Lepisosteus oculatus: one gene and its partners. The protein of the gene in region 3 purifies or fractionates together with the protein of the main gene of each other region. This does not show direct contact. Links are inferred from orthologs where the notes say so. Each region holds a gene or a part of one and is shown on either strand. Other genes may lie near its edges. The genes, in order: cops8, xpc and ddb2.

Evidence for each region.
Region 1: the proteins of ddb2 (region 3) and cops8 purify together in Homo sapiens (affinity purification with mass spectrometry; 6 studies listed by BioGRID and IntAct, counting the BioPlex papers as one, with this or other methods). This does not show direct contact. The link is inferred for Lepisosteus oculatus from reciprocal best matches to the Homo sapiens genes DDB2 and COPS8.
Region 2: the proteins of ddb2 (region 3) and xpc purify together in Homo sapiens (affinity purification with western blotting; 5 studies listed by BioGRID and IntAct, with this or other methods). This does not show direct contact. The link is inferred for Lepisosteus oculatus from reciprocal best matches to the Homo sapiens genes DDB2 and XPC.

What each region holds. Positions count from the first base shown.
Region 1 is NC_090707.1:9,847,717-9,855,751, forward strand, and holds the start of cops8 (COP9 signalosome complex subunit 8), read left to right. Parts: upstream 1-4,901; 5' UTR 4,902-4,949; coding exon 4,950-5,021; intron 5,022-6,178; coding exon 6,179-6,249; intron 6,250-7,324; coding exon 7,325-7,373; intron 7,374-8,035. UniProt on the Homo sapiens protein: Component of the COP9 signalosome complex (CSN), a complex involved in various cellular and developmental processes.
Region 2 is NC_090699.1:55,825,507-55,833,120, forward strand, and holds the start of xpc (DNA repair protein complementing XP-C cells), read right to left. Parts: upstream 3,162-7,614; 5' UTR 2,992-3,161; coding exon 2,823-2,991; intron 2,307-2,822; coding exon 2,117-2,306; intron 1,799-2,116; coding exon 1,668-1,798; intron 822-1,667; coding exon 710-821; intron 200-709; coding exon 115-199; intron 1-114. UniProt on the Homo sapiens protein: Involved in global genome nucleotide excision repair (GG-NER) by acting as damage sensing and DNA-binding factor component of the XPC complex. Has only a low DNA repair activity by itself which is stimulated by RAD23B and RAD23A.
Region 3 is NC_090716.1:4,973,787-4,982,016, forward strand, and holds the start of ddb2 (DNA damage-binding protein 2), read right to left. Parts: upstream 3,127-8,230; 5' UTR 2,533-3,126; coding exon 2,316-2,532; intron 1,673-2,315; coding exon 1,545-1,672; intron 1,193-1,544; coding exon 1,001-1,192; intron 853-1,000; coding exon of another isoform or gene 707-852; intron 1-706.

The DNA of each region.
Region 1 (8,035 bases), on a different chromosome or scaffold from region 3:
CTAACATCCTGATGATTGACCATTTTTTTTACTATTGACATTTTTACTTCTTATGCGTGATGTTCTGTTGACATTATGACAAGTTTTACAAGGGCATCACAGCACAAATCTTTATTTTGCTACACATGAGGGAGAATATCTGCAAGGTACTGGCAGGAAAATGTACGATTATTGAGATTCACTGGATGACTTAATCACAGTTACTGGGCTCTGGTTCAAACGTATTGCATTACAGCAGTGAAGACACGTATCTGTCAGGTGGGGCTGCACATTGGTGGTATTGAAGGGGGTCCCCATTACCTGTAATGCCCTTTGAGTGGAGTGTCCAGAAAATCACTATATAAGTGTAAGCAATTATAATTATTATTAAGACCTTGGCCTGTTCTGAACTTCACTGGGCAGTAATGTGCTCAGTGAGGTGTTCCTTAACAAGTGGTAGTTTTATTTTTTGTCCGGAGTGGGAAGAAAAAAAGTTACATTAAACTGTAAGTTAGTTTTAGCCAAGAACTCTTTAATACTCAAAAAAGAATTAAGAAATACACAAATTTGCAGCTATTGACCTTCTGACATTTGCAGTGTCATATATTTTGGTATTTATACATTATGTTTGACTGATTGTAATGGTGAGAATATTTCCTTTAAATTCCTGCATTAATTAAACTGTAGTATTATACTGTTACTAATAATAATTATCATTATTGTTGTTTTTATTTTATGCACAACCTTTTATGACATCTCAAACTCTTTATACGAATGAAATTCATAGGAGCTCTTGCATACAACAGGAATAGAGATACAGTACAGTATGTATGCTCCAGTATTTAATTAAGATCCAAGTCTTTGAGTTCTGAACATATTGCAACTGAGGTGTCAGGAGAGCCAATCAGAACAGCTTTGGTCTTGTGAAAGTTCAGATAGAAAAATCTGTGAATGTCCAGCATGAAGGGGCATATACAGTAAATAAAAACTGTGGTGCTTTCATTAATGTGTGAGGGGAAAGACAGAAGACAGGAAGTTATCATTGGTGCATCCCACAGCATTTCCTTTTTTGTTCCAATGGCTGTACAACAAGAGTAACCAGGACCTTGTAGAAAAGCAAAAAAAAGATTTTGCTAATGTACTGGAACAATCTTCCACTACGTAAAAAAAGACCACACATCCGGTGCTTGATAGCATGAACTGAATGACCAGTAACAGGAGGGGATTTACTGGCTGCACTAGGAAGCTGACCTTCAATGAAGTGGTCTGACCGGCCTGAGATAAGAGTCCTCTGACTAGAGGGGCCTGTGGGACCCAGCAGATAATTTGTTACCCACGTGAAGACTGTCCTATCGCTGTATTTCAAGGTACTGCACAGATTGAAGTGTACCATTCAATCTCCAGAAAACCAAAAGTCAGATGCCAGTAATTTCATTCTTGTTAGGCAATTCGAAGTGGGAGGCAGGGAGTGAAAGGCAATGGTCTACACAAGGAAGTTACTGTACCTAAGTGATTGCATGTTTCAGGTTTATTCCGGATCTAAAGAGACATAATAGTTTATGGAGTGAAAGTACTTTGTTTTGGATTGTTGTGTCCCTTGCTGTGCTTTATTTTTATCCTTGTTCGTGTATTGTATAAGCACAGGCTATTTCTGTGTCTCATCAAAGTATGGTATATCAACATTCAAATGATGAATCCTGTCCCTTCTTTCCTGAGAACAATGCGCAATAAAAACAGACTATCTCATTTAAAAGCAAAGCGTGGGAGGTTATTTTACACTGCAATCTCCAAAGGAAAAATAGAACACAATACATGATATCTAAGCTTTGTTTTTACGGATTTCCTGTGTAATTTGAATGAAAGAAAACTTTCCCTTCTAAACAGGAACCATGTCTACACGAGATAGTAAAAGTCACATTTATTTAGCTCACTTATTTAGAATTCTTGAGCTCTTTTAGAATCTGCTCCATAAGCATTTATGTGCAGTGTTTAAATTTCTTAACTAAAGCAATTGCCTGCATACTGTACTTACAGTAATTCAGTTAGGCATTGCAAAAACAAGTTCAATTTGCAAGTTTTAAAATGTTTTTGGAATATCAAAATCCATCTCACTGAAATTAATAGATCTTTGCAGATCTCAGTATCATGTACCTGCACTCTGAAATGCGTTAATACAGAAGATAGCATCTTAGGCTGATCTAAGTATTATCTCAGAAACATTTAACTGTTTATTGGTCCAATTGGCCCATATAATTTAATTCCTTCTAATTTAATAAATTATTCTAATCATTTGCAATTTAAACATGACTACACATGAAAAACAAAAGACATGTTAGCAAGACATGTATCAACAATTCTGGTCATTACTATGTTGCAACTCGCGTAATAAATGTAATATGTGAATAAAATTAAATACAATATCACTTACTTTAACATATGATCATTTTGTATTTTAATACCTGCTTCCTTCTCATCTATTGATTTCCAGTATTTACTGGAAAATACCCCAGGTGAAAATCCTAGATACTATTTCAGCTAAATTCCTGATGTGTCGTAAAATGGTGATTTTAGTTTATGGGCTCTATTATGGTGCTTTGTAAGGTCATTGGCCATTTATGATAAAAATAAACCACATAGAATCAATATAAATAAGCTTTAAAGAAACCATAGAAGTGCCCTAAAGGGCAGTCACTTTGCCTCAATTTTCATGTTCTCAACCTGTTAAAAATATATTGAGTAATGTTATGAATTTTTTAGGTCAAGTGTGAACTGTTGCACTATGGACTCTGTTGATGGATGTTTCTTGGATTAATTCAAGAACACTGCTAAGCAATCTTAGGTATTTATTTTTTGTAAATACCAATCTTCCACATGCAGTTCTTATTAGTTTATGACAGCTCCAGACTGGGAGTTTTTATGAGCACTCAGGATGGGAAAAGCAGTATATCGGTTGTGTTATCACACTTTCTAAATAGAGTCATTTAGGCTTTTACTCCTAATTGTAAAGACAAATAGCGGCAAGGTGAAAAATCACCACAGTAATGCTCCCAAAGGGTAATACGAATTTTAATCTTGATATGGTTTTGGATGGCGTCCATTTAATAAACTACGTGTAGATCATTTAGTTGAGATTTTTTTACCGTTTTATTTTTGTTTACGATGCATTTAAATTCACGAGACCAACATATAAACATGACCCTTTTACATTCGTAATTTTTTTTGGATAATTATTGTTATTTGTATCTGATAAAACACAAAATGCCTGCAATGACGACAAACGGCTCCGAGACTCCCTGTACCGTACCAGAGATTTTCCTCAGCGGTAAGATCGGAACAGTCCCTACCTCCGTGTCCCGGCTACCACGTTAAATAAGGAAAAAAGTTGCAACGCAGTGGTTCAGTGGAGCAAAACTCGGCTCACCCTGCATGGCTCTAATAACGACCGCAGAACAAGGAGTACTGATCCACCTCCTGGAACAGGAGAGCCAAGACTATGGTTTTCAATAACATTTTCACTCCTCAGTCAATAAGCAGGACGTTATAGAGCTGGAAAACGGACTGGTCATTTATGAATTTACTCTGGGTAATATACTGGGGTGTAAATAACAAAATACAATGATGTTTATTTGCATGTTTTATTTGAGGTTTTATTTGATCTCTCCGCTTCCCTGAACAACGTGGATTGGCACTTATACATTTCTTTACACCTCTTTCGTCTGTCAAACGAAACTTTAAAATCCCACGACATTACAATATCATGACGTTGCCGTGTTGGAACTACAATATATGAAATATATATCTTCAATATAATAACGTTAGTCACATATAACACTTTCCCTCTTGATTGAAATATTTAAGATGTAAATATAAGTAGGAAAGGGTTTAGTGACCAGGTCTAGTGCAAATGATCACATTACTCCTATCCTGGAGTCCTTGCACTGGCTTCCGGTCAAATTCCGTGTAGACTTTGAAATCCTCATGCTCACCTATAAGGGTCTGCATGGCTTGGCACCTCAGTATCTGTCCGAACTATTATCGCCCTACTCCCCACCTCGCAACCTTCGCTCTTCTAATTCTGCCCTCCTTACTGTCCCCCAAGCCTGTCTACATTGTATGGGTGACAGGGCCTTCTCCTGTTATGCCCCCAAGCTCTGGAACTCTCTCCCCAAGGATATCAGAGAGTCACCTTCTCTAAACTCCTTCAAATCCAGATTCAAAACCCTCTTCTTAAAGTAAAAAACCTTTACTTAACTGGTTCCATTCTTCACCCCTCTGCTTTTCTTAGTACCACCATCCACGGTCTCCTCTATATATTTTAATTGTGTTTTATCTTGTGTATTCTTTTTATTTATTGTTGTTGTCATTCCATAAAGCGTTTTGAGAAGCCACATTTAAAGGCGCTTTATAAAATAAAGTTTATTATTATTATTATTATTATTATTATTATTATTATTATTATTATTATTATTATTATATTTTCTTACCAGATTTTACGGTGGACTATCATGCGAAGTATCAATGATCTCCTGTAAAACATTTAACAAATCAGTGCGTTTAACTTTCTTTTTTAAGGCCACAGTCCGCTTTTTTAAAGCGAAATATTTGTATGGAGTGACATCTAGTGTTTCTTATTTCATTACATTCCTGTGAAACATCGGGTTTGCTTGACCAGAGAAAACGGATACATTCTAAAATGTTGTTGCAATATAGGTTTTAATATTAGGATGTACAGAAGTATAATAAATACCTTAATTTGATTCATTATTTAATTCTGTACGAAAGTTCTCCTTCGGAAGATCTACAGTAGTTTACTGCACACGATAGTCTATTAAATACCACGCACGTAGTTTTCCCCTCCACTAGAGGTCGCTAGGAAAGTTTCTGCGCCGTAATAATATTATACGCCGCACTCTGTATCCCCGGAAAGGGAAGTGTTTTCATCTGTTACTGTTTGGGTTGGTTTTCCAAAAATGCCAGTGGCGGTGATCATGGGAGAGAATTACAACAAACTTCTGGAGCAGTGTGAAACCCAGGAGTTGGAGGTATATAGCCGATTCCCTAAAAACAAGGTTGTGTGTTCATTGCCAGCCAGGACCTGGTGTAGAGACGCCACAACCGTTCAGTAACATCCCGGACAGTGAACACAACGTGTTGCTGAAGCAGCCGGCTTGCAGTCCTCAATTACTCGGTTACCTAGGATGCTGTTGTTAGACCTCGGGTGGTTGTTTAAAGGCAGTGATCACACTAGGGAAATATTTTCCCGATGTTTCATATGTAAACAGTATTTTTGGAATCAATGGTTCGCTGGTGCTGTGTCGCCTGTTCTATTCAAGTATACACGCATGTGTTTTATTGTCGTTTCCATCTGTGTCGGGGGGGCATAGCAGATCAGATCTCTATTTATGACTAGAAGGCTGCTCCCTTGAGCCAGGTGCCTCATACGAGTTGTGCACAGCTGTAAAAGTCTGCACCAGATTTGCTGGGGAGAAACCACGAGAATAGGAGAGCTTTCAGTCTGGGGTTGGGGGGTCACATAGCCACAGCCCGCTTAATCCTGCAGAAACTGGGGTAACCACGAAACTAGAGAACCGCTACAGTTGTAACAGCAACGTTTGTACGCAATGTCTGATGGTATTCATTTTATAAGTATTGATAACTGACGAATTTACTGACAGAAATTGTTACCAGTACGAGAGTTGTTGAATAGTTTTCAGTTAGCTTGCAGGAGATTTTCTACGTGCTCTATTAATACCTTTGAGTTCTGATAGGCATTACTTTCCTTGGTACTGTAATGTGTTTGCGGTATTCTCAAAGTGAAGGACAATGCAAGTATCTCTTACAATAAAAGATCGTCTAGTTTTGTTCGTTAGCTTAATCACTGGGATTTTCAAATTCAGTAACTGAAAGCAAAAGTGATCATATCTCTTGAATATACATTACTGCTTTTTTGGATATGATGCTGAAATTCATTGTGGGGATGAATTTCTTTTCTCAATTCCAATTGCATCCAGTGAAACTCGTTTTTTTAAATGGTGGCATATTTGAATTTTTGCATGATTATGGTAAAAATTCCACATTTGCAAAGCATTCTGAAATATTTAAATAAATATTTTTGTTAAAAGTTACATTTATTATTGCCATGTATTTTCTGTATTTTGTATATAATTACAATTTAAAAAGTGCTTTGTTTTCTTTCAAGGCACCTGGTGGCATTGCGACTCCTCAAGTGTACGGGCAGCTGCTGGCCCTATATCTCCTGCACAATGACATGTGAGTTATAGCAGAGTACATGTTGTCATTCAGAATCTGCCACTCAGGATTTACTGTCATCAGAGCAGGTTGTAGGCTCAGTAAATTACATTGATGGGCTACTTTACTGTGCATTGTGTAGGCACATGGGCTACTTGTTCACAACTGTTATGGATCCTTAACTTTTCATAGTCAAAAATAAGTTTCGAAGTTACGAATCCCTTCATAATCTAATATAGGGCTCTCCCCTCTGAGTCCATCCAGACATCTTAATTGTGATGGCACAAATAGATAAATCTGTATTGTGTTGATTTGCCATGACAGATGATAAGAACAGCTAGGATTTTCTTCCATATGGAGTAGATTTTAATATTGGTAATCATAGTTACAGGTGTAATAGATTTCTTCTTCCCCCTTATCAAAAGAAAAATCATAGGAACTTAGAAACATACAAGTTTATATGTAGATAGAACTGTTTTTATTGTTTGCATGAAGGTAATTGAGTTTCATATACAAAAAAACATTTAACTTTAAGCATAACTAATATCTGCAAAGACAGACACTGGTTTATAGTCTGTGTCTTAAAGTTGTAATAGCAGAGCACAGTCAATTAATCAAAGGTAATTACCTAGTCTCATCTAATGCAGCTTTAATGTTTTTGTGATAAAACACCATGCAGCACAGAAAACTGAACCATTGAAAGCACTAACAGCAAATGGCTTTAGCATAGTTTTACATGTTTTTTTTACATATGGCACTGGTTAAGTCTGTCATGGTGAAGCTGGTGATTTACCTAAAGCAACAGAAGCATTGCACTTGTAAGCTTAGCTTTCTCGAGACCTACACGTTCATCCCTTAGGATAGGTATATAAATAAAAATTAAAAATGGGACAGAGCATCAAAGCTGTTGGTCCCAACTATTTAATTCTTGTGGGAGTCACAAAGCTTTTGTGCACCCACGTCTTTCCTGTGTGAAAAAGCCCTCAAGAGACATCAAAGCCAGTCTGTCTGGACTCACCACATGGAAAGGATATGGAAAGTACTGGTTTGCATTGTTCTGGAATTTGAGGAATGTCTGTCTGTGTTCTGTTTTTAGGAATAATGCCCGGTATCTTTGGAAGAGAATCCCACAAGCAATCAAATCTGTAAGTACTTACTAAACTTTATTTGTGATGTATTAAAGTGATTAAAAACTCAGATATATTTAACATCAGCAGAAGACACATCTAACAGATAAGATGGTTTGGGTGTTTTTTAAAAGAAATCAATGGTTCTTGTTTTTGAAACCAGTTCTAAGTCTAGTTCAAGGCAAGTTTGCTTAGAAGTAGACAATAAGCATTAACATTTTGACAGCAGTGAAGTGTAGATTGCAAAAGAAATGTGCCCACAGAGCCTCAGATTCTGTAATATCTAAGCCCTTATGTTTAATACTCCCTGGTTTGGAAAACGTTATGTACTGTTATACTTAAGGTAATTTTTTAAAATTATTTTACTTTGAATGAAACAGAATAGAAAATGAGGAAATTAAAAATCTAGCTGCTGTGTTTTTAACACCCCTTCCAAAAAAAGAAAATTGATAGTTCTTGCAGAAGATATCTCCAAACTCTCGATCATTTTTAAGAACTATAATTTTAGTGCTAAGTATAGTCTTTGAATTGTTTTTTCCTTTGAAGTATAAAGATAAAAATAAGAGATAACAGAATGCTGCACTCTTGAACTGGGATGATTGAATCATGAGGGATTTCATTATCTCTGCCACGTGTCTCTGGCCTGCAGTGGCATCGACAGCTGACATTTAGAGCTGTTG
Region 2 (7,614 bases), on a different chromosome or scaffold from region 3:
ATGTGGAATCACCGTTGTCTTCAGGGATTGTGATCAGGGTTCTCTGCCACAACCTCTGAACCCCAGAGCACTGCTAAGCTTCTACTGACAGCTGGACAATGGGTGAGCCCGTACTTTATGGGTATCTGTGAGCACATCCTTGGTGAAGCGGTTCATCATCCGGCGAAGGTACGTCTCAAACTCTGCCTTTCTTCTCTCCCTGCCAATGCAGCACCACATCTGTCACTAACACATCAACTTACAGGGACACAGCAATGCACATACACAGAAATAGAATAACTTTACAACAAGCGATTAATTACATTTGTAATTGTACAATCAAATGATTGTGAAAGCATCATTCAGAAAGATGGTCCAGGTGTGCCAGTAACCAACTGCCCCTCCTCCATGCCAACTTATTTCCAAAGAGGCCAAATCAAATATTTTTCACCAAAAATACATACAGTAAGTGCTGCCTGCAATTTGTATTGAAAGTGTTAAGTTGTCTGTACATTATGTACTTTCATTCCAACATCCACTATAAAATATTTACTTTTTTTAGCTTAAAAAAAAATCCTTTTTCAAATGTGAACCTATACCCTTCAGAAGCAAGAGATACTGTAAAATCATGCTTTGTGGCACACTTTTATTACTGTTGTGTAATTGAGGGTAGTGCTGTATAAATGTTTGTCCATGCAGCTCTAGAGTTGTAACAGGCTCTGCTTCTTGCCTTCTCTGTCTCTTCTTGGCTTGCTCAGGGGTTTCAATCTCTATCTCCACAGGCTGAGAGGGCAGAGCTGGCTCTGAGGGGCCCAGGGAAGAACACATAGGCTCATTGAGTTCTGTGAAGAAAGTTCAGAGAAACAAGGACTTCAGCCTGGAAATTGCTACAGACTTACACAAGGAGACATCGCTTATGGTTAAGGGTCTCCTTACAGGTAATGTAGAGATTGTCCGGAGCACTAGTACTATATTTTACTCAAAATGAGCTGATCCAACGAATTTGGTTAGAATTGTTTCCACTTAAAATATAACAGAGATAAAAGTAGTGTATCCCATTTAGGCCAGAAACCCATTTGATTCAATTATTTCAAATATACCACAGGGTCCAACAGGGTCTTCCACTTGGTCAAACAGACCCACAAGAATTCAGGAGAAGGGCAATTTCACCAGGAAATGAAATGTATCCATACTGTATATGCTCTGCAAACTAAAGTCTAACATTAGATTTTCAAGCATGACATTGTCATTCTGAGGTTTGCAGAACTTATAGGCAGCTCTTATAAGACCTAGATACACATAAGCAATGACTTTAACACTTCAAACCAAATAATATATACTGTACTGCCTCACAGTCTCCATTGAAGACTACAGTATATCATATAGGTAGCTGTGTCACCATGTGTAGGCTGCAACGGAACAAGTAAACGTTCATTCCATGCTGAAAAAAGAAGAAAAGAAACACAACGTTGTTTCTTTTGTGGAGCCTTCTTCAGGTGTCATATCCCGATGAAGGCTGAAACGTTCCGTTTCTTTTCTTCTCTTTTCAGCATGAAATAAACCTTTACTTGTCCATTTGTAGTATATGATACCTGCTCCTTTGCAACCCTCAGAGCTGCCCAGTACACGTTAATCCACTTAAAAATAAAAAAAGTGAAAAAATAAAAAATACATGCTGTTTGGCTTACCTTCAACATCTTCCCAGTCCTCATCACTCTCCTCGTCTTCGTCCGTCTCCTCTTTCTTCACCACCACCGCGGCTCCCTCACGACCCCAGCCAGCCTGACTGCTGCCTTCCTCCTGTCTGGGCTGCACGTGCCTGCTCGCCGGGACAAGTCGAATCATATCAGTCATATCCCAGACCACTCCTTCACGCGGCCAAGCACTGTGGGTGTGTCTTAAAGAGATTTTAAAGACTGGCAGACAGCACTTCTACTCCTCATTCTGTACACCCAGCTTGAATAGTACGGCTTGCTTGCAGTACACCGAAAAGCTAGGCACTCCTCCTCCAAGATGACAAACCTCAGGAGTGTTAACAAGCCACCATTCCATTCTCATAGCTGTATGCCAAGAGTCATTAAAATGTCAACTGGGAACGACTCCCTGTTGAGAGATACTGAGCAACTCGGACTTTTACCGATTTTTTTCATCATCATCATCTTCTTCTTTTATATGTGCAGGCTCTTCTTTGACTCCCTTGGTCGCTCTGTGGCGTTTACTCGTCGCTTTTGAAGTTTTAGCAGCAGCCCCAGGCACTTTTTTACAGTTGGTCGCGCTTTTCTTTGCGGCTACTGCCTTCGGAGCATCACCTTTAGGGCGCCCATCCTCTGAATCAAAAGAAGAGTTGTGTGACGAAATAAGACCCAGGTCTTTGGTACTACACGTAACTGTTCGCGTACCCACGTTTTCATAATCTGAAGTCATGAATGAGAAGAGTGCTTATATTTGCATTTAGGTCGGGAGGGGGTTGCTTCTGCAACGCAAAACATTTTAAAACATCAAAACCCCACCACCTGCAGGATGTGCTGCAAACATCTCAACGGTATATTTTCGGACTCCACGGAAACCACATATTGTATTTTATATTACTACAATTCCTGGCCATGTTATTTACGTTAATGTTAATTATCAGTTTCATGACGAACAAAAACAATAGCCGCTGTTTAAACTCACTGATTAGAAACAAAAAAAAAACTGATTTTAATTCAAGATACCGAGATACACACGATTGTTTTAACAAAATCAACTGTTCATGCATTTTTTATATATGTAAAACGTTACCGGTATGCACAATAGATTACAGAATAGCACAGCACAGAAGAATCACTACCATGCTAACTTACCTGTAATCTTTTTTGCTGATTTTTTAACAGTCTCTTGCTCTTTCCCCTTTGTGACCTGCTTACATTTCTTGCTATCTTTTTTTGCGGCGGCATCAACTGACCCTTTTCGCTTGTTGGCCATGCTCGTAACAGGCTGCAGGAACTTTAGTTGCAACACAAATAAAAACATGCACGACCGACGTTACTCGAATGAACTTCGGTTTCCACCGTGCGCACACTCCATAGAGTTTAACTTATGTAACCTCTTTCATTTTGCAGGAAGTTCCCCCAGACTCTTGTTGTACAATGCCTGAAGCTTTCATAACATTCTCCGTATCATTTGTTGTTATTCTCCCTGCAGACCAGTTTCAGAAGTGACGTCGAACGTCAACTTCCGGCCAATAACATGTCCGCCATCGGGGTGCTGATGTAGCTGAATGTTGTTAGCTACACGTGGTTGTACCTGACTTGAATATACATGTTTACATGGAATGATATTTCTTCGATGTTTTTGCTTACTTCGACAATGATATTCAGTTTATGCAATGCAAAAACTTGAATTAGCGAAAGATACATTATCAATTCTTTCCGAAAGACCCCTTCGTTTAATATACAGTATATATGCAGAGTTGCTCAAATGAGTCCTTTTGCATGTGCATAGATTTACTTTTCGTCATCAGCCCAGGCTGTAAAACGAAGCTGCACGTGTGTAGATATGCATATCATGCACTACAAAATATTTTGGAGAAAGTTAAAATATATTTTTACTTCTCAGTCAAGAACTTCGTATTTATTTTCATGAGAAATAACATGATTGATGAGTACAATTTTTTTTATTTTGGATAATTCCTTGTAAACATTTACTCACGTTAACAAGGTACATTTAATATTCAACCTACTTCTGATTTCAAAGTGACCTTTTCAAGTGTTTTGGGACAGTTTCACTTCAAGTGAAATTCTCAGTGTAAATGTCAGTACGCATGCATGAAGCAGCTACCCATTGAGCTCACTAAAGTTAATAATTTCAGAAGCCTTTGCTGTAGTTGTTGGAATACCAACCGTCTCTCGACGACTGGAGTTGTCTAACACTGTATTTTGGTTTTCTATTTTATTTTAAGGAACACTAGGTGGAGCCACAGGCAAATATTTTGCTTGGTAATATTTCCTTCTCCTAATACGGGTCTGCTAACTGGGTGAAGGTGGTACTGTACTGTATATGTTCACAAGAATTTATAGAATGAACTGATGTAAACCCAGAAGCTGACCTACGAAATTAAAAAAACAACAACTTTACTCTGGTAATAAGGTCAGTAAATTTGATCTTTTTGGTAAAATATATATTTGCTTACTCTTTTTCTTTTCATTTACAGCACTAAAGTAATGGTACAGTATTTGCAATTAAAGTACTTAATGTGTTTTTCGATTATTTACAATTATGTTATGCGACTCTGTATATAACCCAATCTAAAAAAAATCTATACTGTGCCAAAATGCTAAAACTGTCTAAAGCATTACATTTTCTTCAAAAGAGAAATTAATTCGTATGTATTGAATTGTTTTATGTTCTGTCTAATTCTGTGTTATTGTTTGGCTTTTTAATCAGGCTGTAGAGTATCTCGCAATTCAGCCACGACAGCTTCTTTAGGTGGTTGTGAAGCCAGCTGGGAAGGTGTTCCTTGCAGCATTCTCTGAAGCTCACCGATGAAGCGCTATGCTCTGTAGCAGGGGTGAAAGAATACCAGGCTTTTCGGTGCAGGTTTCTGGCTCCCATTTTTCAATGCATGAATTAAGGATTATCAATCAAGCATGCAAAGGATTGGTTGTACCAGATCCTAAATTTGAAGGTCTGGTGTTTGCCAGTCCCTACTCTACTCCTGTGTAATACAGATAGACAATCAAGTAAGCATTGTGAAATTGTAATAGAAGCTCTTTGTTCTGTAATAGCTAGGCGGGAAAAACATCATAAGATATGGAACAGGTATAATTTTTAAACGAGACAACTATCTACAGATGATCTGTAATCATTTTGATTCATGCAGTTTTTCAAGTGTTGTTGCATTTGCTCTTTTATTTGCACATTGTTCAGCTTTTTCCTTCATTGACCTCAGTTTCAGTGTGTGGCACCCTTTCCTGTATGAGTCCAATATCCCTCAAAAGCCCACATCACACAGAGCCATTTACTGTATGTTTTGGCACGGTCATCTTGCACGCTGGTTCTGAGCCGGCACTTGCTTTGAATATTCAAATCTTTCACAGCAGATGTCCTAGTTTGAATAGGATACATCTCTGAGAGAGAAAAAATAAATGAAGCATAGTTGATTAATGAAAACATAAGTTCTGGCAATACACATATTAACAGTTCTGCAGCAGGTCGGTACCACCTCTTCACAACATAATGTAGGTATTTCATTATAGAATATTGGTACAAGCACGTCTAAGCTCATGTTTATGTCTCATGTCATACTGTCCTTTATCTGATTTTCTGGTGCAGTTTTTCTTGTTTTCTTTGAAGATCAGCCAGTTTCTCTGTTTTCAGTCGCTGCCTTTGCTGAATTAAAATCACCATGAGACCACGAAATGACATAATTCTTCCCATGTGACCGCCTTTTTCTTCTCCTTGCAAATCCAGTTCCAGACTGTGACGAGATACCTGTTCCATTGCTGTGCAGCGCATTTTTCCCACAGTGAAATGTTGGATCTGCACTATTTGTTCTAACTGGAGATGGGGGAGGGGATTAATTCCACCCCAGCACAGAACATGCTTGAAGTTTACATTTTAAAGTAAATAAGAAAACATACGTGGAAGGTTTAGTTTTGTGGCTACACCAACAAAAGAACACAAAGATACAAGATTATATAAGCTGGTGGACTTTATTTCACACATTATCTCACAGTTTAGAATTACATAAAATGTACAACAGGACAAAACATGGACTTGATCAATCTCCCTGATAGTGTCTTTCCTTTAACCATACACAAAAACATGAAAAAGGAACAGAACATGTAAAAGAATTAGACAAAAATCTCACTAAGTGCTCCCAGTTTACACCTCATCCTAAATTAACCCATTTATGTGTCTCCAGCACTGTCATTTTATACATATATACTGTAACAATATGGTGTTTACAAAATTGAGGGTACTAAGAGATGTATACAAACATTGAAGTAGACAGAAGTTAATTGAAGAGATACATCTCCTGTGTCCTTCAAAAACAGATGTAAAACTTTATTGCCTTAGTTACAGGACCTGCTGTTCTGATTGCTGTGTTTTGAACTTTTTAGAATAGCAAGATGTCGGGATTCTAACCAGCAGTCTTCCACTTGTGTAACAACCCTGCTCTGAGAGGTTGGATTTTGAATGTCTAGAAACCTTCACATTATGTTAAACTGATTAGATTAATCATTCTGATCTTTGCAGCAGGGTTAGATTACATATGGTAAATGAAAAGACATTTAATGGAAGATTAATTGAATGTCTTAGTTTTACTTCATTTCAAAACTTGCACAAAATGACCACTTTAATAAGTGAAAATCATGAACTAGGAAGGACTCTCATTTGCACCGGAAAGTGTTTCCTTTAAAGAAAGACTATATTCATCTCAAGCAATGTGTAACATCCAGATATGTAACACTTTACTTTGTAACTACAACAAGATCTGTGGCCTCTTCCGAGGGTGACTTTTTCATTTGAAGCCAATGACAAAACCCAGTTTGGTACAGCAAAGACAGCATCTGTCCTGTCCCATCAACATGTGGATACTGGTATGCTCTGAGGCAAACAGGATAAGAAAAAGGGAACTAATTCTGAACACTTTTCAGCACCTACTGCTTTTGTACTTATGGCACAATACGTTGTTTCTTTCTGTAAAGAAACACTCAGAAAAGTGATTGATAGTTAATAGTTGGTACTTGCATTTATACACTACTTTTTTAAAGGATTGTCACAAACCACACGTAAGCACTTCTCACCGTTAACATCCATGCACTAATTAATCAATTATCTTTCTACACACTCTTCCCTCCATCTTCCGTATTTACAGTATACCCTCTCACTCCACTCAGTCTCTGCTCACTAATGAGGTTGCCTCTTCCGAGCTCAACCCTCGCTTTACGTAGTTCGGGAAAGAAATACTTTAAACCAAATTGTCTTTTGGCTCTCGAAACCCTAGCTCAATCCTTTGATTACGCCATTGCTTCATGTTTTTAGGATTTGGTTACTTTTGGAACTTTCCGGAACCTTTCCTGGATTAATCTACCACAGGCTGGCATAGGGAGTGGCTAACCAGCCTCTTTGCTGCAACTCCTGATAGGGATCCCCAAAGTATATTTTCTAAAATCAAGAGAAGTGACCCCCTCTGTCCCCCACTGAGGTGCAGTACCCACAAGGGTGAAGTGTGGCAGCCATTGTGAGCCAGCAGCCCCATTATACAGCAGATAAGACAGCGCAGTGAAAAATTGCTTTATTAATTGAATCTGGGGGAGAGAGGAGACATTTACTTGGTCAGATTGTTCAAGCCCAGACTGGAAAGTAACAAAGACACTTGTATTTTCACCAACAGCACCATGAGGCCTTTAATCAAAGGACCACATTTTAGCATCTTATTTGAAGGATGGCACTTATTACAGTTCCCTTCTTGGTCACCATACTGGGAATTTGGTGTGATGTAAATGTCTCACAGTTCCTTATTGCTTCCTGTTGTCAGACCTATTTTCATAGTAAAGTGACTCTATAATTCTCTGTTGTTCCTATTTTAAATATTATCTGCTACAGTAATGAACTTGTTCAATAATAAAACCTAAAGCTAGGATTATG
Region 3 (8,230 bases):
GTAAGTGCTTAGACATGTCTTAAAAGACAATCATTCACATGGCTAGAGACTGAATTAAAATGACATCACTCTAATCAAACAGAACCTTACTTTTATGCATCATTCTCTTTATTTCTGCCATTAAAAAAACATGGATTTTCAAGTTCAGTAGCGCTTCTAAAAACTGGTTCATCATGGCATTACTTAGGTTCAATGTAAATGCCACACAGGAAAACAAAAGACCAGCTCAGCTGGACTGTGTATTTCAGTTCACTGCTTTGGAAAGAATAAGGAAATTGGTCAGAAATCTGAATATAGCTAAAGATCTGCAGTGCTCACAATTGACATGAATACTAAGAATATTTCTGCTTTACCATGGCCAGACAGGACTTGCTGATGCTTGATTTATTTTTTATTTCTGCTTCAGCTATGAAAAAATGACCATAGAATTCCATAAAATAGCAAAGATTTACCAAAACAGCTGGAGAAGCTGGAGTATTACGTAGCTGCTTCCCAGAGTGTTAGTGTATTTTCAGAAGCATCTACCTCCATTGAAAAACAAAATCTTACAGCAGACTTAAAGGATCTGAGGCAATAATTAAATATATAGTAAGTCATGACACACCATTAAACTATACTAAGATTCACTGTACAAGTGTCTAGTTTTGCCCTTCGGCATTTTTAAAAGTCAACAATAAGTTAAAAAACTGCATCAAAACTTTCTTACTCCCACTGATGAGTGCTGGCAAAAACTTTAATAGTGTTGCCTGTAAAATCCTGCAGAGAGGTCGTGCCTCCGACAGACGATGTAAACAGCTGACTGGGATTGAAAGGGTTAAACTTCATGTCTGTTATGGAGCCCCCAGCTCCCATCTAAACAAATATAAAAAAAAACACAAAAGGAAAATATCTCAGGACACTGATCACGGTGTGCTAACTACATTCTTGGAATGGAATTCACACCCAGACAAAACCACAGCATACTGTATATACCTGCCAGGCCTGGAGAGAAACCACTCACCCCTTGGATGAACTTGGTATTCTTTGACATTTCGTAGTCCAACAACACTATGTCCCCCCCCTTGGAGCCTACTGCCAGGGTGCTGGGGCACGTTGGGTGCCACTCCAGGCACGTCACCCTGCGATCGAATGGGCTGGCTGCATGGAAGAGACTGTAGGAGTTCAGAAAGCGCAGGAATGGCTGTTGTAGGCACTGGAGAGACAGGAGAGCCACATCGGTCTTCCAGACAAGAAAAGAGGCCAGATTTACAGAGGGATGGCACAGGCAGTGCAGTTATTTCTCACAAGCACGCTTCAAATGTGTGTTCTTAAGATACAACTCCGATGTCCGGAGACAGAAACAGCACACTTTTTTTTTTCTTTTTCGCTCCGTATGTGACTGACTATATGTCAAATGTTTGTGTAACAGGGAGCGGTCATGGCTTGATAAAATCACTAAGAGAGTTACCATTATTCTGCTATACCTTACAAAATCATTTTATCTTTCTGACAAAAAGGGGAAAAAAAACGTTCTTTAGACGGCAGCTCTAAAAAGAAATTCAAACCTGGCGCATCTGTGACTGGATGTTCTGACCCAGTGAGTGTTTATACACATAATGGACAATACTGTTCTGCCTGGCCGCCTTCTGAAACCCCACACTCTCTCTGTTATTCTGGAGTTCAGATCTTGCTTCTGAAATAAGAACAAGACCAGAATGATTACAAAAACCATCATTTTCGCCAAACCTACCACTAAACATAACCATTATCGGGGTTAAACCTGGGGAAACCTGTCTTTTTTAAATGTCCCACTGAAATTTAGAAGTTAAAAAAAAACAATCGAAAAGCAAAATCAAAGCAATACTCTCATACCACTACAAGTTTGAGTTATTCGAACTTTGTAAAGAATTAGCCAGGATTTTACTTTTTTCAGTACATGACATTAGTCAAATCCCACTGGCTGTTTATGGTAATTCTTACATTTCTAAAACCAAAGTCATTTAAAGTGTAAATAAATCGAAGAGACCGCATGTACAGGAATATCCTCTGGCTAATTCCATAAAGTCAGAGGAAACGACAGTAAGGAGCAGTGGAAAAGGTCGCTTTGTAACAACCATGCACATCGTTTTTTAAGTAACATTCCCTTGTCTTCTGGTACTGATTGCTTGAGCACAAGCACCAGCAGATGGAGCAGCAACTCAGAGGGGAACCGCTGGCGCCGCAGTCTCATTCCGCCCACTACTTGTTGGGGAGCTGGGCAGGCATGCCTTATTGCTGAACCGTCCCTGCTTGGGGAAATTCAACTTGAGACAAAGCCATGAGCTCCAGTCACACACCTGCTTTCCCCGGAACGCCTTCCTTTTTCTTCTTCAGCTTTCTTGAGAGGGGTTCTTCCGAAGGCTCTGCTCGTTTGCTCCGAGAGGTGGATGGCCTTTCCTTTTGGCGTTTGGGCACCGTGCTGTCCAGGAGAACTTTCTTTTTGGCCATCGCTTTCCTTGTGCTGTTCACCTGGTGTGTCGGATAAAAAGGAACAGGAAAACTATTTCTGTGCATGAAGGGTTAAATAAGTTCACACTCAAGTCAGTGCTCTGTGTAATGTATTCCTACAAAATACTACTAGACCTCGTTTAACTAAACGCTTAGCATTTTCCTGGTATCTGACTGAAGAACATAACTTTGCAATAACGTGAGAATACGGGAGATATCCAGCTTTAACATAAGGGACTAGTTGCTCTTACAAAAAGTGCAGGAATGCAGAAGAAATGTATGCATTTAGCCTCTCAAAGCATTCTTAGACAACAATAACAATTCAAAAGCACTGCAAGCTTTTCGATGTTTAAAAAAAACACATGCACTTCTATTTTTAACAAGCAATTTGGGTTCTACTTCCCCTCCTATAGTTTCGTAACACCATCATTAAATAAAATTACGAACAGCAAAATTCCCATCTTAAAACAAAGCCCGTGCAGTCATACGTCACCTAATCCTTTGTAAAAGACGCTTGAATGAGGTTCTTTATGGTGATTTTTTAGAGGGTGATCGATACTAAGCGCTCATTTGCCTAACACATGGACGCAGACACGATCGATTTTGTTTTTAATGACGTCACGACCGGGTTGTTTTGTAACATTTTCTCTTTGTTAATCCAGCAGGTGGCAGTACTAATACATCCACTTTTCCGTCCCCCTTTTTTTCTTTCAGCGGAAGACAACTTTCCGACAATTGTCTACTAATCATTATGCACATTTTGGCCAATTTCGTAAAGGTTTTAAGACAAATCAAGGTTATTGTGAGTACTACGTTTAAAAATATATCACATATCACCAGTTTTCAGGTGTGTTAGGGAAGATCAGATTGATCGGAATTATCATCGATATTCAGGGACATTAGACAATCAAAGCGTAGACTGAAGACTCAGGTAGCTGAAGTTCACACATGATGGTGCTGATATATATGATCAAGGTTGTATGCAATATTTGTGGAGCAGATTGATTCAAATTAGAACCACGTAGACTTAAAGACAACCGGGCCGTTAAGATCATTCCAAAAGACAATACAGAAATATGAATCCTGGGTGCCTGGAAACTGAAACTCTAGGAAAGTCCAGTCCACTGTTTTTTGTAGGTAGCCTTAAAGCCTTAAAAGTTTGAACTCACACTGGTAATATTGTAGAATAAATCCAAAAATGATTGAGGGCTATTTGTGTAAGGGTGTTTGATAAACACCTGAAAGAGACAGATCACCAAATCAATTATTTTGTCATAAATCATTCCACTCCTCATCTATAAATAGTCCAGTCTGATAGCTTCTATCTTGACCTTGGAAGTAGATGCCATTTTTGGTACTTTCATCCTTATGCATTTTCTATGTTTTTTTTTAATTAAGACAATAAGCAGTCAGAAGCAGTTCTATTACAGGGTTCAATTGTGTCACTGAGGGCTCAGCTGGAACAAAAACAAACAGGTGTGTTGGTCATCAGCACCAGGATAGGGAACCACTGATTTATGAGCACACCGAAGAGGACTGAAAGTAAGGTATTATCTATGTCAGCAGGAAAATGCACTTAAAACTCATTCAGGAACAGAAAGATGAGCTATTCCCCTTCAGCTACCTTGAAAAGTATGCTTCTCTCTCTGAAACAGAAGAATGAGACTCTCAGATTAATTACCTACTAACTACCAAACCAGCTGGGTCAAAGGGTCTCCTGCAGTGTGTAACATTTCTTTAATTCCCATCTTTGCTGACCATTCACAGTTTGACTTTTAGGCGTTGTAAATTACTGACACTCTGCAGTGCTGTTTTTCTTAATGATGTCATTTATTTTAGAAAATTAAGTTCTAAAGTACAGAGACTGCTTAATATTGAACCTGAGCGGAAAATCCTCCGTGGCATTAAATTGAGTACGTCTCCGGGATGTTCCCGCGGAACACCTTTTCCAGCTGGACTATATTCAGAAAATAAGAAGCTCTTGTGATGCAATATACAAAACGATGCCTAATCATTCAAAATTCTGAATCGATAAAACAGTGGCATTATCCTCTTCACAATTAGCATCGGCACCTATAGGGTTAAATCCAGTAATTGGATTAATGCGTAGAGCGGAACCACAGGATCCAATTACACCCCAGAAGACCCTTCCAGAAGAGAAGAGAAGACAAGTTGTCTTTTAACCTGCCTGAGGAAAAATACCCAAACAATTATATGTTCGATATTTTCTTCATTTCTGCTCGGTTTTTGAACTTCTCGTTGTCATTGTGCCTCGAAATTGGCCTTGCCGGTCGAGTAATTCCCAAAGAAAATTCCTCTTCTTTTCTGCTCTATGGCGGCGAAGTGTTTGTCTGCAGTCCTGCTGTAACCGCGCATCAACTACGGTAATAGGAGCTTGTAACTGAGGGGGGGAAAAACCCGCAGGTCTGGTTAAAGTCGGAGGGGTGTTACCGTTTACTCTCATAAATGCACTGAGGACTTTTTAAACGCGAAGTGCGGATTTTCCGTTTATCTGTGTTTTGCAACAAAATAGGCATTCTCTGGAAATAAACTGAAGTCGCAACAGGTAAGAATCAGAGAGAAATGTCACAATGAGATGTTGCTCAAATGCTCCATGTGAAGTGTAAAACGTTTTTTTTTTATTATTATTTGAGCCGGATCTCCCACCTTCGTATATATATATATAAAATAAAGTACGGCGTTGCACGCCTGTGGAAGGTTTAAAAACCATTTACATTCCAATAGCGTCAATAGATGTCTGTGGAGTACAGTTTCATAGGGCTCAATTATAGTCCAGATGCAATAGGACCGTTGATTTGTGAAGTCGTCACTCATTACTTCTTTTCAGCTTGTCATCAAGTGACGAATATTTGCACGAAACTACTGAATGCGAAGTGTTCTCTAACGGTCCCATAGATGTGTTTTATTTTTTTCTTTTGCTCGCAGTCAGTATGGAAATAGTGGATTTGTTTGCGTGGGGTGCTGAACTGTAGTCTAGTGACCTCGCTTGGGAGCACAGCGTGCACCGCGCTTTCCTCCGGTGTATCCCTTTTCATTGAAATCCAACCTGGGCTCCGGAGAGGAAGACGAGACCGGTGGGTTCCGCGTAAACTGTTGAAAACCGGACCACTCTGCCCTCGCTGCAAAGATAAAAGGGTTTGGTTGGTACTGGTGTCGTTTCTAGGTATTTTAAACAACGTTGTTCGTGTCAGTATTAGTTTCTTTCTCCGCCGTCTTTGCGAGTGCTTTTTGTTTGCCTTTAAGTATCAGAATCTGCCCGTTGTTAAAGTCGATTTAAAGGAATATTTGTAAATTTAACGGTGTTGTTTTTGTTACTTCGCAGTTAATTTATAAGCGAACGAAATGCAACAAATGTTTGACGGCGTATACAATGTAATTGCTTAAACGATTCCCCTGCGTAGGGTTGGTAGTAGTAGCCCTTTCCAGTTGAGTCGCATTTTAAGTACAATGCAAGGCTTTCCATTGAAATATACTCTTTCGTTTTTTCTCAGTGGGACAGCTTTCTCTTAATATGACACAATCTTATGTTGTACCCATCGAAACAGGTGACCTCCTTCTGAGCTTGTAGGTTAATTCAGTTGTGAAATATATAGGGGTCCCCGAGTCAGTGCTGTTGTTTCCCTTGGTGAATGGATCAGGTTATTAAAGAAGGATACAATTATTTTAGTCTGACGGTTTACCGTGTGTGTTTTTACGCATGGAACCTGTATTAAAAACTAGAAGAAGAACAGACATTTTATTTGGAATGCATGATTTACAAAAGTGTCGGATGTAAGATGTGCCTTCAATACGTGTAATTGTATTGTACAACCTACACGGATGCTGAGGTTAAAAACAAGAACTTGAGTACTAATACACCACTTTTGCGTCGCAAGTAAACTGCACTCAGCCGTGAATGCAGCCCCCTGCGGGTTTTTGGAGCTGCGCCCTCGACCACTTTGGGTGGAATAACGTTACCGGCCTCACAGTCCCCAGTTAGCTCTTAGGGGCTTGGTGTCCGAGTAGACTTCATTTCCTCCCCAGTTAATAGGAACTGATTTATAACAAAACGTTAAGGCTGAGAGAAAGACCTGAAAAAATCAGGAATGGAAACAGCTGGTTCCATTAGTAACTGAGTTTGCGTTTAGAAACAAACGCAGAAGTGCGACACATCTGTGAATTCTTTAGCATTAACCCTAAAAATAATCACTTTGCAGCCCACAATGACTAGTCCAGAGGGCTTAAGGTTAATCTATAGTTGAGCCGCAAAATGCATTAGAACTACATGCATTTCTCAAATGCTGATAAACGGCAAAAAATGTATTTGTGCTTTTTTTAAAAATTAGCTTAAGATTACTTTATGATACCATTTATTCTTCCACCTTACTGAACAATACCTTTTCACTCAACAGGAGGCAGCCAAAAACCTTCTGTCCCCTATTCAGATAATCTGTTTTTTATTTAGAAGTTTATCTTGCTTTAAGTAAACAAAATTTTAAATGCTTCCTTATTTAGAATGATCAGGAGAGGGTTAAAGTGTTTGGTTTTGCATTCCTTAGCACAAGAGGTACTCCATGTTTACCAAGTGCATAATTCTAGGAAAATGCTAGTAAAAAAATTACCAGTAACTGAGTTCTTTTTTATAGTAATGGCATGAGTTACAAAGTGTTGTGTACTACAAACAGAAATTAATCCCTGTTATGCTTGTGAGAATTGGAGGACGAATTGGTGTCTTGAGTAGAGGGGTGTGGCTTTAAACGCTGAAAAACAGTGTAGTTAAGCCATTTTCTTCCGGGTCATGCTATTCTGAAAATGAGATCTCTACTGGAAATGTAGCAGTATCTAAAGGGCACACTATCAAATTTCAGTTGGAAGTTTATAAATGATTTTCTTTGTTTCACTGAGCATGAAAGCATGGCACATTCTATATAATAGTTTTTGTATGGACAAACTACAAACTGATTTTACTGCAAGGTTTTTTGTTAACTGTAGAATGGAAATGGGACAGCTGTTACCACCTAGGGTGAAAGATTCTTGTTTTGTGTACTTTTATTTACCTTCTGGACATGGAATACAGGTTTTCTTAATAATACGAGCTTGAAAAATGAATGTGTCTCTGTGTTAATTTGTACTTTTACTTATTAACTATCATTATGCCTGCAAGTGCTAGTTGGGGTGTGGCAGTTTTAAATTATCGCCAAGAACAGGGCATGAAGTAAGATTGTTGTAAGAGAAAGTTTGCAAACCAGAGGAGACCTTTTGATCCACCTTGGTTTGCTTGTTAGTTTAGTAGCAAAGGTCATTAAAATTTTACTCAGGCACTTCTTGAAGGGGCCCTGTTTGGGCCTCAATCATTTGGCTGGGACGCTTGCTCTCACACCTGCAACACATTGTATTAATAATTTTTCTAATTCCCCTTCAGTTTCCTGTTGAGCTGAGCCTGAAGAAGTCCATTGGGCTGACTATACGTTTTAGGATTTTATATTCATATTAATCATCCTTTCAGTGAAGAGATCTAGTTTTATTTACTGCATGTCTGTATATGATAGTCTTGAGACCAGGAATCTGTCCTGCTGCTTTTTGAGAGTTTTATAGGAATATAATACTCTGAGAAATGGTGAAATCTGAGCATAATTTGATGAAAGATCCGAATGTCCTTGCTCTTGATTCAAGGTCTTTGTTTTTCCTTTGCTTCCTCACATTGTCCTGATGAGGACATCCCAGATCCTTTGGTATCACTTCCTCCAACTCAGGATTCCTAAGA